2 linked regions of the Notamacropus eugenii genome follow. The protein of the gene in region 2 interacts with the protein of the main gene of each other region in a pairwise test. Links are inferred from orthologs where the notes say so. Each region holds a gene or a part of one and is shown on either strand. Other genes may lie near its edges.

Region 1 (7,975 bases), on a different chromosome or scaffold from region 2:
GAAAAACACAGAAGCAACAATCTCTTGGCTTCCCTTCCCTTTGCTCTATTGGCACCATATACAGTTCCTTTCTCTGTAATAGGCAGCATTTCAACCTACTTTCACTGATAACAGGGACAGACTGATACCCCCAATGCTATTACACTGGGGTACAGGGGCAATCTGTACAGTCAAATAGCATGAGAAATTCAGACCATCTTGAAATGGGAGAACATGGAAAACATGGTTTCTAGCCTTCTTTCTCACCATGAACAATCTGAGATCAAAAAGCACCTGGCTGATTGATGAAGAGATTCCCCAAAATCTCCTAAGTAACTGGAAAAGACAAGACAGCTTTAAGCTACTAAAGAGCAAAGGCATTCTAAACTGAGTGTCTGTCTTGATGGCTAACCCTACAGGTACTAACTTTGTATGGCTCCAGAGGCACTCTCTAAGTCTGTCTCCATATACTTAGACTCTCTTCAGGCTCCACTCTAGTTAGCCTAGGCTTTCAAATGGGAACAGGAGTAACAGTTCACTCCTCTTCGAAGCTGAGCAACAGGATCAATTCCTCTCTGCTTTCCCACCTAATCAACCAGACTCCCAAGAGGATGGCCCTGTGGCAACTCATTCTCCAGAGGTTGCAAAAAGCTGCTAATAGGACTTTTTCAGCTACAGACTTCTACCTTGTAGCTTCTAGGTGGCAAAGGTAACCGTAGAAGGGACAAAGGAGACCAGATGAATTGAGAGAAGACTACAGACAGGACAGCGATGATGGGACAGAAGAGTTCCTGACAGGGGTGGGGAACAGAAAATGAAACATTCCCTTGATTCAGTCCCAAGTAATATAGGGAGAAGGAGGATTAATTTGTACTACCAGAAAGGATCACAGCCTTGTGTGACTGGACTGGCTGTGTTCTATTTCTGGTAGGTAGCATAAGCTACTAGAATAAGCATCAAGCAGGAGCCTGGATACTTGGGTTCTGATGCTGCTTCAGTCACAGTGATTTTGGCCAGATTACTTAATCACTTTAAACCTGAACTCTCCAATAAGCAAAATGGAGGTGAAGGGGGAGAGAAACAGTTCTTGCTCCTGTCTATTTCATAGGACTGTCAAGTGAATAAGAACAAAAGAACTACTCCTTGGGTCAGAAACATGGCCTGCCAGTCCATGACTGTAGGTCTAACATGGATCCCATGGGATCTTTTATGCAATAGCATAATTGCTCTTTTAGATATGAATCATAAAATATCAGAGATGTACCCCCCAAAAAACAATATTCTAGTTTCCCTTAACAACTCATTACGGATCTATCATCTATTAATTTAGCTAATTTTAAAAACATTCATATTTTTAGTCTGTATCTCCTGGAATAATTAGTTCTTTTAAGTTTACTATGAAAAATAAGAATTTCTTTTATTTATCCTAAATTTACCTTTTTCAAGCTTCAAGGAGTGCCCCCTAGTTCTAGTATTCCAGGATTTGGTGATTAAGTCCAGGTTCACCCTATCTGTACCCTTCATGATTTATGACATTCTGTAGATGTCCCTGTGAAATCTTCTCTAAGTAAAAATCTGTGAGAATAAATAATACAAACGAAGTACTTTGAGTCAAAGACATTATTACTGACATTATTATTAGTACTGCTATTTTATGCTCCACCCCTGAGTGTCCTAATTCTAGCCTCTCCAGGCTTCAGTTTCCCCATTCTGGAATGGGGTGTGCTCTCTAGGAGGCCATGGCAGGGGACTGGAAAGGTAAACAGTCTACCTTGGAAAAATATATAGCACCTTTTGGGACCAGCCCATGTAGGGTCACAGACTATACTGGTGGACACATATTGGAGTTTGGGATGGGGAAGCCTCTAAGAAGATGGGACAGAAAAACCAAAGTGTGCCTGGCAAGACAAACTAAAGTAGGCCTGGCAATACCTATCTGTAAAGGGAGAAGCTATCCAGGAAGGCCCACTCCTCTCACCACACACAGGTAAGGAAGGTACTGAATGATGAGTAAAATCTCGGTTCCCAGAGGGCCCCCCTTCCACCCCCTTGGTTTCTCAGAACAACTGGGTTTTCCCCAATCAAACCTCAAACAATGGCTCAAGTTGGGCGAAAGAGAAAATCTCAGGAGACAAAAGGGTTATTTCTGCCTAACAATAGGGTCATTTCTGCGTAAGACCACCCCAAGGAAAGGAATTCAGTCAAGGTATGTCCCAACATAGAGATTGGAAGGGAACAGAAGGGGGATGGGGTGGTCTTGCTCATCACCGATGCTAAACCCCCCTTCTCCCATGCAAAGGAAGCAGCAGCCGCCTGGTGTGTAGCGGGGGGAGGGAGGCTCAGGAGCGCCCCAACACTCGCCTGGGTTCCACTGGGCAAACAGTCACAGCCTCGTCGGACCTGGCTAGCCCATTCCTAAGGACTGCTTAGGCCCAGGGGAAGGGGACGCGACGAGGAAGCCCGGGGCCGGGGGGGCGGGCAGGCTCCGGACACCCACACGGTGCCGCCGCCGGCGTGGGAAGGGGGCCCGCCGGGCGCGCTGCCGCGGCTCCCCGCGGGGGCCCCTCATCCTGGCCCGGCCGCGCGCCCTGGGCACGGGCACGGGCACCTCGCTCCGGCCGGCCCCGCGCCCCCGTGTCCCCGTGCCCCCGCGGCGGCCTCGTTGCCATGGTGACCCTGGCCTCCCCGGTGAGGGTGGCAGCTCCGTTCCGCGGCGGGAGGGGATCCGGGGAACCCAGCCCCGGGCGGGGGCGGGAGGAAGGGGGGCTCGCAGACCCCGGGACCACCCTGGCGTCGGGCCCAGTGCCTGACCCTCCGGCGCGGCAAACTCGCCCACCCTCCCCGCAGCTCCAGCCCTGGCCCGCTCACCTCCCGGCCGGGCGCCCGGAACTGTCGAGGAGCCCCCGAGCCCGGCTGCGGCTGCGGCTCCGGGCCCAGCTCAGCGCCTCGCCGGCTGCCTGCCGCTGCCGCCGCCTCCGCGGCCCGCCTGCTCCATGCCGCCTCGCGGCCGCCGCGCCGGCCGGGGGGCTCAGCTCAGGCGCCCTGCTCCAGGGGCCGCTGCCGCCGCCGCCGCCACCGCCACCTCCCGGTTCCGATTGCACAATGGAGATGCCGCTGCCGCCGCATCATCCATATGCATGAGCTTGGGAGACTGGCTCCGCCCCCAGCCCCACCTCAGGCGAGAGCAACGCATCCTCGAATGATCGATATGTCGGGGAGGAGAAGGCGGGAGCTGGGCGGGGGGATTTGCTCTGCTGCCCGAAGCCCGGGGAGGGGCGAGGAGGGAGCTGGGAAGAGGTGCACATCCCCTGACGCTTCCCCCTGCCCCAGTTATCCTTCTGGACTCCCATCCACTCACTACCACCCCTCTCCCTCCCCCTTCCTACTACGATTATCCCGGCCACTTCCAGGCGGTTGTTTTTGCATTTGAGAGGTGTAGTAATGAACTGTCCCCCACCCTGGACCAGGGATATGGAAGCCCAGGTGGTTCTGGATATCTGGGGCCACGCTACCCTGGTAGCCAAACTGGGAACGACACATGGCAGAGCCAGGCGTGCCCTCCAATTGTGTTGTACATTCCACAATTCTCACCCCAGAGTCCTGGCAGGAAACCGAAGGGGGTGGGGATGGGTGGGAATTCGGGAGCAAGTCAGAGGTAAACTCTAAATTCCAGAAACTTGGTTTTCATTGGGATGATGGACAACCACCAGTCAGCCAACAAGTATTTCCTGGGCAGATTAGGTGCTGTGGATGACAGAAAACAAATATGTCTGACCACAATTATTGAGGAGAACAAACACGGAAAACAACAGTCCGGTGCTAGACTTGTGGCCAGTGACCATTCATCTCAGCTCTTATAGCAGCCTACTGTATGCAAAGCCAAAGTCTGGTCCAGAGAGGTGGGGGTAGGGTGGGGGCGGAGGTTCATGGCCTCTTGGGTCTTGCTGTCTAGTAAACTTCTTTTCTCCAGATATTCCCCATGCCTGGAATGTTCTCCCCCACTTGGCTGGTTGGATTCCTCTCCAGACTTTAAAGTCCAGCTCCAAAAGCTATCTCCACCAATTTCTCTGACTCCCCCAGGGCAGAAAGCACCTTCTTCTCTCCCCCTCTCCCCATAGTACCTGATTTTTTTATCTCCTAAACTCTAATATATTACTTTGTATTGCAATGATCTGCCTATGTCCTAGTAGATTATAAACTCCATGAAGATAGACAGTAGCTTATCTGAACTTTGTATCTCTTCCAGTGGCTGTCTAGATTTTGTAAAGACTTTTTATGCATATAGACACTGTATCCCCAGGCCAGATCTTAAACTAAGGGGCAAGGACTGTTTGTTACCTTTTCATCTTTGTATTTCCGGAGACTTGCTTAGTGCCTGTCATATAAAACAAAAGCTAGAGACTGGTCCTGTGATTTCTTTTGTAGAGGAAACTCCTGAGTGAAGAAACTCCCTCTGCCAATGCAATGGCACAGAAACATAGTGGAGAGTTATATAGAAACCTGGGAAGACAAGTGACTTTTCTAGGCTCATAATGACCATGGCCAGTGAATTAGAGGCTAGACTTGTACCAAAGTCTACTTGGTTTCCAGGCCTATTCTTTACTCTGTCATGCTGCCCCTGACCCTACAAATAGAAGGTGCTTAATAAATGTTAGTTGATTGATTACACGTAGTGAACCTTATTAATGTTTGTTGGATAAATGTAAAGCATAAGACATGGGCAGCCAGGTGGCACAGTGCCAGGCCTGGAGTCAGGAAGACCTGAGTTCACATCTGCCCTTAGACACTTGCTGGGCAAGTCACTTAACCCTGCTTGCCTCAGTTTCCACATCTATAAAATGAGCTGTAGAAGAAAATGGCAAACCACTCCAGTATCTTTGCCAAGAAAACCCCCAAAAGGGTTATGGATAGTCAGACAGGATGAAAACAACTAAACAACATAAAGCAGTGGTTCTTAATCTTTTTCTGTTGTAGGACTCTTTGGCAGTCTAGCAAAACTAACCCTTCTCAGAATAATGTTTATATAGGGTGTTCCAAAAAGCTTTGTGGAGTACTGCACTATCTTCATAAAATACATAGCATTTGAAAGAAAACTCATGATACTGAAATATATTTATCAGCCAGGGCAGTTAGGTGGCACAATGTGCAGAATGCCAAACCTGGAGTCGGGAACACCTGAATTCAAATCCAGCCTCAGATACTTGCTAGTGGCCTGACTCTGGGCAAGTCAATTAATCCTGTTTGCCTTACTTCCTCATCTGTAAAATGAGCTGGTGACAGAAATGGCAAAATGACCAAAAAAAAGCGTATTATATATATATAACATTTTATAGGCATGCGCATACACACACACACACACACAGAGTTCATGGACATGGATACCAGTTTAAGAACCCCTCCTTGAGGGAATAGAACATCTGCCATGAAAAGCAAAGCAATAATCCACATCCAGAAAAAGAACTATTTAGTCTGAATACAGATCAAAGCACACTATTTGCTCTCTTTTGTTTGTTTCTTCATTCTTGTGGTTTCTCTCATTGGTTCTAATCCTTCTTTACAACATAACTAATGTGAAAATATGTTTAATACTAATGTATAAGTAGAGCCTATATCAGACTGTGCAGTCTTGGGCAAGGGGGAGGAAGCTGGAGAAAATTTAGAACTCAAAACCTTATGGAAGTGAATGTTGAAAACTAAAAATAAATTAATTTTTTTTTTAAAAAAGCAAAGCAATAGCTGATTTGCAAAACAATTTGCTTCATGTAAGAAGAGCCAGAGCAGCCTTGAAAGTAGATCCCCAAGCAGTCTAAAGCTTAGTAGGTCTTAGAGAGTTTCGTGAGGCTTAGAGAGGTGGTTGCCTACCCTTAGTCACACTACTAGCAACTCACTCAAGTTTCCCAGACTTCTGGAGTAGCACTATACTGGTATCTATTGTACTTAACTGCCTCTGTAAGTATATAAATGTGTTGAGTTACAGGGTTTGAGGCTTTAAGGAATTTCTTGCTTCTCCTAGGCCTGCCAGCCTAGAAAGGGAGCTTCCTAGACTCCTAAAGCAGTCATTCCATAGAGCTCTAGGCACCTTTTCTGACTTCCTACAATTCCAAAACAGTTGCCTCCCCTCCCCCATCCCCTTCCAGCTATACATAGCTACTAGATATAGTCTGGGACAACTCCACCCCTGCAGCCAAATTCCTAAGAACTACAACAACCTATCTAAACTCTTTCTCAAAGATTAATGTAATCCTAGCACATCCTACCCTGCCCCTCCCAGAGATTCTGAACCCCTGACTGCTCTTGTATCCTCCCATCCCCTTTTATCCCATCCCCACCCCCACCATATTCCACTCTAAAGCTACCGGCTCCTTCCACTGTACTCTCTGGAATGCCTGCTCCATGGGTAACAAACTAGCTCGCATCTTAAATCTTTTTCTTTCTTGCTCACTCTACCTTGCACTCACTGAGACTTGGCTCCATTTTGATGAGTAAGATGGCTTCTGGGGCTATGAATTGTAGTATTGGTTGCATGTTCGTGTGTACCCCCAACTTGCTGAGTGTTGTGGGGGAACTGGAATTGGAAGTGGCTCTCCATTGCCACTTCCACACTTTCTTTGGACTACCATCATTCAATAAGCTCTCTTCCTTTGAGGTTCATTTAGTACATATTTATTAGCCAACCAGGATTCTGGTGCCCATTGTCTGTAGACCTCTAGAACAGAACATTCTTCTTCCTTAATGAATTCATTTCCTGGCTCACAGTCTTTCTTTTCTACCCAACTCCTGCCCTCATATTAGAAAACTTCAATATACAAATTGATATTTCCTGAAACAACATAACCTCTCAATTTCTCACTTACTCATTTCCCACTCTATCTCTGCTCAGCTACACACAGTCACTCACATGTGACCCCCTTTCATGTTCATGAACTCTGAAATTCCTTTATCTGATCCTAACATCTTATTCCACCTCTCCCTCTGCGCTGCAACTTCAGACCCTGTTCTTCACTCTCACTGCAGCCTTCAGTACCTCTCTTCCCCATTTTGACACCTTGGTTGATGAATTTAACTCCACATTGTTCTCCTGAGTCCTTTGTCCCTTTATCCTATCAAAAATCTTGCCATACTAAACCTTAACCTTGGATTTCTTCCATCATACACACTCCCTTTATTCCTACTCATGAGCTGCTGAATGAAGTTGGCAAAAATCACAGAAACGTGCTGACTTAGGTCCACTACAAATTATTGTTCTATAATATCAACTGGCCCCTACTTTGGCAAAGCAATCATTTTTTCCTCCATAATGGATTCCCTACCCCATTTACCATAGTGCCTTTTCTAAACCTTTTTTTAAATCATTTGTCAGATCTTCCATGGCTGTCCCTCCCCCTAACCTCTTATCTGAGAACCTTGTCTCATCATATTTCACTAAAAAAAAAAAAATTGAGGCCATTCTCTGAGAGTTCCTTCTTGTCCCCCTCCTCTTCAACCCACACTATGGGGGAGCCTTTCTTCACTATCTCTTTTACCCTTGTCTCACTTGGAGAGGTGATTCTTCTCCTTGCCAAGGCAAATGCCTCTGTATGCCCAAGTGATCCCATTCCATCCCATCTCCAGTGGATTGCCCCTTGTATCATCTTTAGTCTCTCACTTATCTTCAATCTTTTCTTATCTACTGGTTGCTTCTCTACTGACTATAAACATGCCCGTGTTTCTCCTAGCCTCAAAAAACCCTTCACTTGATCCATCCATCCCTGCTAGCTATCCTCCCATATCTTTTTTCCCTTTCCCTTCTAAACTTAGAGATCATGCAGTACAACTCTCTCACTTGGCAGATGAAGTTGAGTCAGAAAGAAAGAAACTAATTTACCCGCTGTCAAGGTTATACAGGTGACCTGTGGAGATCTGAAAGCAGGTCCTCTGACTACAAATCCAGTGATTTTCCCTGTATCCCACACTGCTTTCAGAAAGGTACAAATAAATAGCTATGTGAGTTCAGAGG
Region 2 (7,206 bases):
GTTTAAAATCTATTTGGAAAGCAGGATACCACTGGAAAGTATAAGAAAAACCCTTTGCAAACTTCATCGGTATCAACAAGGTCAATCACAGTCAGAATGATAATAGCTAATATCGATAATAAAAGTAGTGTTTACAGCTAACATTTATGTGGCCTTTACTATGTGTCCTGGCCTGTGCTAAGCGCTTTACAATGATTTTCTCATTGGATCCTCACAATAGCCCTGTGAGCTAGGCGTTATTAGTGCCCCCATTTTACAGTTGAAGAAACTAAGGCAGGCTAAAGTTACGTGACTTGCCCAGGGTCACAAAGCTAGTGTCTGAGGACAAATTTGAACTCAGCTCTTTCAGTCTCCAGAGCCAGCCCTCTGTCCACTGTGTCATCTAGCTATCAGTTAGTTGTTCATGTTTAGGTGGTTCTGAAGAGCGAGCACTTAGTAAACCCAAGGAATTGGATGACAGCCATCCTAAAAGAGGCTGCAATCCCTTCCCTGCCCTTTGGTCTGACTTTGTATTTCTGGTCTTTTCTTAATCAAAGGCAGCACTAAAAATGGAGTTACTGTCTATTTCATACTTCAGACTGTTTCTAGTGGTGATGATTTATGTGACATTATCTATACATCGCCAGTATCCAAGGTGTGTGGAATGGAACAACTGGGGAGAGTAAAAGTTCTGTACTGGGTGGCCATTGGAGACTTCTTTCTGACCCTCTTTGGTAACAGTGGTTTTTCCTTGAGCTGCTTGGTACTGGGGGTGAGTTAGCAGGCAGAAACGAGCAGAGAAGCAGGGCTATGGTTGACTCCAGGGGTTCAGCATCGCTCCACGATGGAACCAGCAGGGGAGCTGGGCTGTGAAATGATTCCTATCCTCTCAGGGAGATCTCCTGTAGAGCATGAGGAAAAAACAACCTGCCTAGAAGCAGCACTATGAAGGACTAATTTGGCGTAGGATTGGTAGGAAGCCATAACCACTCTACTACTAAATACGGACACAGCAGGATTCTAGGAAATTTTGGAACATCTGAACTGGGCTTTCCATAAGAGTCGGAGAAAATGCAGTTCACTCAAACCACAATCTGTGTGCCAAGGAAGGCTGTTCCACAGTCAGAAGCCCACTGTGAACTGATCTCTGTGGCCCCTAGGTCTTTTTCCTAGCATGGAGGGGAGGGGGAATTTCACCTGTGACCCCATTCTTTGCTAAATAGGTTACCTAGGAGTCTGTTTTTCATGGAATCCATTCTGTAACCTCTAGCCAAACTCACCAGAGTTCCCTAGTTCTGTCTGATTCATTTCCCTCTTACCTTGGGGGAAGTTGTACTAGTATATCATGATGGTTGCCCCACCTCGCCTGCTCAGTACATGACCTTTGGGCTCACGTAGCCAGATTCTCTCTAGAGTTCAGTATGTCATCATAGAGGCTTTGTATACTTAAACATCCATCCTTCCCACTGAATAATTTAGTGAATTTTGACATAGTGACATTGGGACAGGAAGTTAGGACAGCAGCATCCTTGTTCTAGCTATAATTCTGACCTATTGTGTGACTTGGAGCATTATAGTCTCTCTGACACTCAATATAATCCCTTGCACATAATAAGCCCTTAACAAATATTTGTTGAATTTAGTACTCTATTTGTAAAGTGGAAATATTAAAAGTTGCCTCTGCCTATAGGAGTGCTGGGAGAATAAATAAAAGTTGTAAAACAAAAAGCTTTTTGTCATTTTAAAGAAAAAAATCTCCACAAATCCAAGGTTTTTTTTTATAATAGTGGATAATATGATAATATATACATCCATATTCACATTTATATAAGCTACATCAGCGACTAAAAAGCCCCTTTTGCAAACTCCCACACTTTTACTCTCCAGTCTCCTCTGAAATAAGCCTTGTTGCACAAGCCTAAACCACTTACACTGGCTGACCCCCTCTAACATCTACCCCAAATGACACAGATTCACACCAAAAACCAGGTCTGATTCCCACTGTCACAGATAGGCACTCTCCCTTGGGAGAGCTCTTCTGATCTCTTCTCTCTCAACTCAACAATGAGAAACTTTTTTTCTCCTCCCTCTCAGGGGAACATGCACGTTTTTATCCAACTCATTCTCCTGCAACCCAACTCCCCAGAAAGAAAAGGGGGAAAATCCCACCCCTAAGAGACAGTCTTCAGGTCTGAGGTCGTTACTTAGCAACGGCACAAAGACCAGCCAGCACAGGGGACATGAAGAAAAACTCTTTGGGTGGGGGAGACAGAGCCAGTTTGGAAACTCCATTTTCATTGAGAGGCAAACAACAGGAAAACAAAAAGAGAAAGGACGCCAAGGAGAGCTGAGGGGGCCCACTCCCCAATCCAAGTTACCCCATGAAGCCCATAAGCCTTGTTTCTTGACTCCTTCAATGATAAGGCTTCTCCTGCCTTCTTTCTGGATGCCAACCTCTGCCCACCTCCCAGGTGCTCTCCCCCAACTACTACCCTGCTTTCCTGGGCTTGGTCCCACTTCTCATCCCTCCCTGGGACACCCACCGTTCTCAGAAGCGGTGGAACCGTCGCAGTCCGAGATTAACTGTTGGGGTTTCCGTTGCTTTCGCCGAGACATACCCAGGCCAGAGAGAGGTGGGGAAGGGAGGGGCGATCGTTCACTTAGTTTCAATAAGGGTGACTTGGTCCTGTCTGCCTCTTTGGTCTGGAGCCAGTGGATGCCTCTCCCAGGGCAGGTCACTCTAGAACAGAGGTTCTTCCTCTCCAAAGAGAAATTGGCGCTCTCTCTCTCTCTCTCTCTCTCTCTCTCTCTCTCTCTCTCTCCACTCACTCAATATCTTTCTTCTCTTGTTTTCTCTCTTCTCTCTCTCTCTCTCTCTCTCTCTCTCTCTCTCTCTCTCTCTCTCTCTCTCTCTCTCTCTCTCTCTCTCTCTCTCCTCTCTCTCCCTCTCTCTTTTACTGTCTCTCCCTTGCTCTCACTCCTCTCAAGTCTTTAAAGAGGAGACGCCCCCTTTTTTTCTTCTGCTTCTTCCCCAGGCTTCAGCAGCTCCCATTGTAAAAGCAAAAATCCTAATCTTTCCGCACACTCTTTTCTTTTGTACTGCAGTGGAAAGGATTTAACCCATTCCTCTCTAGGAGGGCTCCTGTGTCCTCCTCTCCCCATGATGTCCACTCTGAGCACTCTCCCTGCCTTTTTGCCTCGATATCTCTTTCTTTGAGATCTTCCCTGTGCATTTTGGTTCTCTGAGGAACCCTAAATTGAGAGCTGCATTGTGGCTGAACAGGGGTCACCCCAGTCTAGTCTCATAATATGGCTATTTCTAGGGGTGGGAGCTTTGTGAAATTTCTAGTTGGGGAAGTAAGAAAGAAGTCAGTTGCATTAATTTGAGAGCAAGGAGAGCATATCAAGGCTATTTAGAGACTTCGAAACAACAGTAGTTATCCCAACAAGGTCCACAGGAGGGTTAGTAATTTCACTGAGGGAAATAATTGCTAGCCATACAGAATCATTAGAAATATGTAGGTGTGTGGATATTTTCCCACCTCAAAGACCGCCTGTATTCCTCGGTTATAAGGGCAATCATATGGAAGATGGTATAGACTTATTCTGTGTAGTTCCAGAAGACAGGATCAATGGGCAGAAGATTTTGACTGAATACAAAGGACTTTACTACCATAACTGTCCAGTAATGAAATGGGTCCCCTTTGAAGTAATGAGTTCCCCATCACTGCAAGTATTCACACACTCAAAGAATACTACTTGTTGGAGAAGTTGTAGAGGGGGATTCCTGCATGGATGGGAGATCTCTGACTAGATGGTTACTCATAATTCCAGTACCCAGTGATGTTCGGATTCATCTTTCTTGGCCTCAGATTTCTTGTCTCTACCATGGGAGGGATTGGACTAGGTGATGTTGAAGGTCCCTTCCAGCTCTAATATTCTGATTCTAGGATTCTATCGTTTTCTCTTCTGGCAAACAACTGAATCGTCCAAGCCCTACTTAGCCATAAACTCAGTCAGTGGTGTTTCATATTTTTGTTCACTATCTTTCGATTGTGGTCTCCCTCCTAAAACTTAGGCAAAGTATGCTTCTGAATGTATAAGATGGCTTCTGTCTAGCAGTTTTTCTGCTTGGATCAACCCTCCTTCTTTTCCCCTTCTCTACTCCCAACCCCCTAAACCTTTAGCTGACAGGAGAAGCTTTATCACCTTCCATGGAGAAAGGAGGAATTGTTCTTCTCTCCGGTATTTCATAAGGAGACTTTATCTCTGTTTTTCTTTGAGTGTGCCCTCAGCCACTCATGATGACTCACAAAGCTGAGCTGAGCCTGCATACCTTGTATACTCCCTTGCTTCTTTAGTCTAACAAATGCAGATTAAGTTGGGCCTATTAAAAGGATGGCAATGGCAGACAGACACTCTTGGGGGGGGGAGGGAGAGGTTGATGAATGATGTAGGTACCTATAGTAGAAAAGTTTGAGAAACCTCTCTGTCTCAGTTCTGTCCCCATCAGCCATTATTATTTTCCTAGTGCCTCAGGGTCAGGACCCTGGGTGACGCCCTTCTGGTTCTACCCCCATTAAAATGCCTATGACGTTATCTCATTTATCCTCATAACATCCCTGTAAATAGACAGTTATCGTGATTCTATTGTAGAGAGAGAAAAATTGAGGCCTGGAGAGGCAAAGTCCAAGGCTACTGTTCACCAGTGGAGCCAGCTTTTAGCTCAGTCTTGTCACTCTTTAATCAGGCAGGGTCCATTAAGCACCTGCCTTTGTGAAATAAGAAAAGAGAGGACAGGGGACTCCTCTTTCTCCCAGGAGCCTCTGAAACTTTCTCTAACAGCAGCTCTGGGGTCCATTTTTGCCTTATTCCTGGGTCCTGGCTCCCCTCTTCCTTTCCTCTGTTTTTCTGCTTCACCCTCCCCAATTCTTTACCCATTGTGAAAGGAAGGGTTCTTTCCCTTACTCTCCTTTCTTCCGCCCTCCCCCTTTCACTCTTCTTTCCTTTTACCTCTTCCCTGTGGCCTATTGACCTCCCCACAGAGTTACAAAAGTAAAATCCTTGAAGAGATGCTGCTGTGGGAATGTTAATGAGCCCTCACCACAAAGGGGCAAAGACTACTTCACTGGGTTGGAAAAAAGCCCCTTTGAAAAGGAGTTTCTGTGTGTGGTGAAGTGGAGATGGGAGGGGAAGGAGGAGGGGAAAGGAGAGAGAGAAAGAGAGAGAGTGAGGGAGGGGAGGGAAAAGAGAGAAAGAGTTAGAGAAAGGGGGAGTAGAAGGAGGGAACTCTATAATAACACAAGAAGAGCAAAGAAGAAAAAAAATCTTTTCTTTGAGGTTTTTAATTTGGATGAGAATGTTTGATGGTCACCTGACCTTTTAGGCCCAGCTCTGAGGGCCCCAAGAAGTTGGAGAGGGGTTCAAGGGCACCTGTGATCACAATGCAGTGGGAAAAGGGTGATAAGATCACCAAGAGTGTCTCCCCCCCAGAGAATCCCTATTTTCTCTGCGTGTGGGGTGCTGCTGAGGGCCCCCCAGGGATGAGGTCCCAGACCCTGAAGGTCTGGCAGGTCTGCCACTGGTAGAGGTGGGCTTTCTAGGTTTTGAGATTTCTTCTCCTCAATGCCCATGTGTGGTATGTGCCAGCCCTGAGCAGTTTACTTGGATTTCTACTCACTGTTGTTAGTGAAAACACTGACTAAATCCCCCAAACTCTGAGTTCCCTCTACCACTGTTGAAATGACTTTTTCTGCTCTTTATAGTATTTTCCATTTTAGCTTCCCTCTTGATCACTGGCCAACTTCTTTCTCTCCAGGAACAGCTTTCATTGCTATTGAAGAGGTACATTATGGACACAATTTCCAAGCCAGAGCACTTGAGAATACCCATATCCTACATATGTCTTGGGCTACCCCTGGAGCACTTAAAATAAGGTTTTAGGTGCCTCATTCTTGGTATGATGCCCAAATAAGAATGGTGATACTGCTGTCCTGAGAATATTTGAAAATTTCAGAGAATTTTCTACATGTTTTCTCATCAATCTTCATAAAATTCTTGTCAAGGCAGCAGGAACCAGAACATTCTATGGAATATAGCACTGAGGTGCAGAGACCGGAGAAATGAACTAGAATAAAGTCAAAAACAGAGTGAAGAAAAGAACTCAGAATTTTCAAAGCTTTGCACTCTCCCTTAGACTTCACTGCCTTTTTTCTCCCTATAAGAACAGTATTCTCTTGACACTTTATTTACAGTTCAAACCCTGTGGAAGGTTTTATTTTACTCCAATGAAGTAAGTAGGCTTCTTTGAGGGGTGTTTGTTTAATAGTAAGAAAACTAGGCTAGGAATCAGGAAACCTGTGGACACTTCTGACTTCTGCAGTTGTAGGTCTTAATCCTCTCAACAGATCTGGAAGGACTTTCAACTTGTAAATTTTCCAGAGATATTCTCAGGATCATGAGAAAATGCCTACCATAAGCTTTAACCCATCATTTGTTTCCTGTAATAGTGATGTAATGAGACTAAGAGGAGTTGAGGAGATGTGTTCTTTGGGAAATCACTAAAGAAGAAAATTCTTAGCAAAGGATTCCTTTTTTATTTGATGGTTTAGTCCTTGACTGACTCAGGTGGCAGTTGACCTGGTGTTATGGGGAAGAGGGAGGGGGAAAGATCAGGGAGAACATTCAGGCTCTAGCTGGTCTTCTGTGTTTCTTTTCAGAGTTCATTCTTCAGAGAATGACAGGAATTCAGCCAGTCTTTAGGGGAGGATCAGAATTGCTTCTTTCATGCTCCCTTTCACTTGTCCATATTGCTCATGTTAAGCACACAGAGAAATGGTGTTTGTAAAAGAGGATGGTGGCGCTGAAACAGGGAAAGGGAGATGGTGGGGGGAGGGCTGAGAGACCTATGGGGGGTGAATCCTGGGATGTGTTTGTGTTTCCCTTGTAATTGTAGATGCTGCAAGATGTCTGTAGGGTGGACAGAAGTGGACAATTTATAATTCTTATGGATCCTAAAGGGATTGGTTATTTGAAAAGAAAAGATGTAATAGAAGAAGGGGTTGCAAATCATGAAAACATCAAGGAGACAGGAAAGGAAAGGGGAAAAGAAACTAGGATCAAAGAAAGGAAAGACATGGGGAGAGAAAGTAAGGTTGATTTGAAAGAAAGGAAAGTGGAGGGGGAGGGGAAAGAAAGGAATGTTGAAAAGCACAGAGGGGTAGTCTT

The links. The genes of interacting proteins can lie anywhere in the genome.
Region 1: the proteins of SALL2 (region 2) and ZMIZ2 interact in binary tests that used the Homo sapiens proteins (3 or more experiments, as listed by UniProt). The two-hybrid records come from large-scale screens. The link is inferred for Notamacropus eugenii from reciprocal best matches to the Homo sapiens genes SALL2 and ZMIZ2.

What each region holds. Positions count from the first base shown.
Region 1 is NC_092872.1:523,014,258-523,022,232, reverse strand, and holds the start of ZMIZ2 (zinc finger MIZ domain-containing protein 2), read right to left. Parts: upstream 3,006-7,975; 5' UTR 2,848-3,005; intron 2,376-2,847; exon of another isoform or gene 1,416-2,375; intron 1,370-1,415; exon of another isoform or gene 1-1,369. UniProt on the Homo sapiens protein: Increases ligand-dependent transcriptional activity of AR and other nuclear hormone receptors.
Region 2 is NC_092878.1:12,377,564-12,384,769, reverse strand, and holds the start of SALL2 (sal-like protein 2), read right to left. Parts: upstream 3,085-7,206; 5' UTR 2,596-3,084; coding exon 2,523-2,595; intron 1-2,522. UniProt on the Homo sapiens protein: Probable transcription factor that plays a role in eye development before, during, and after optic fissure closure.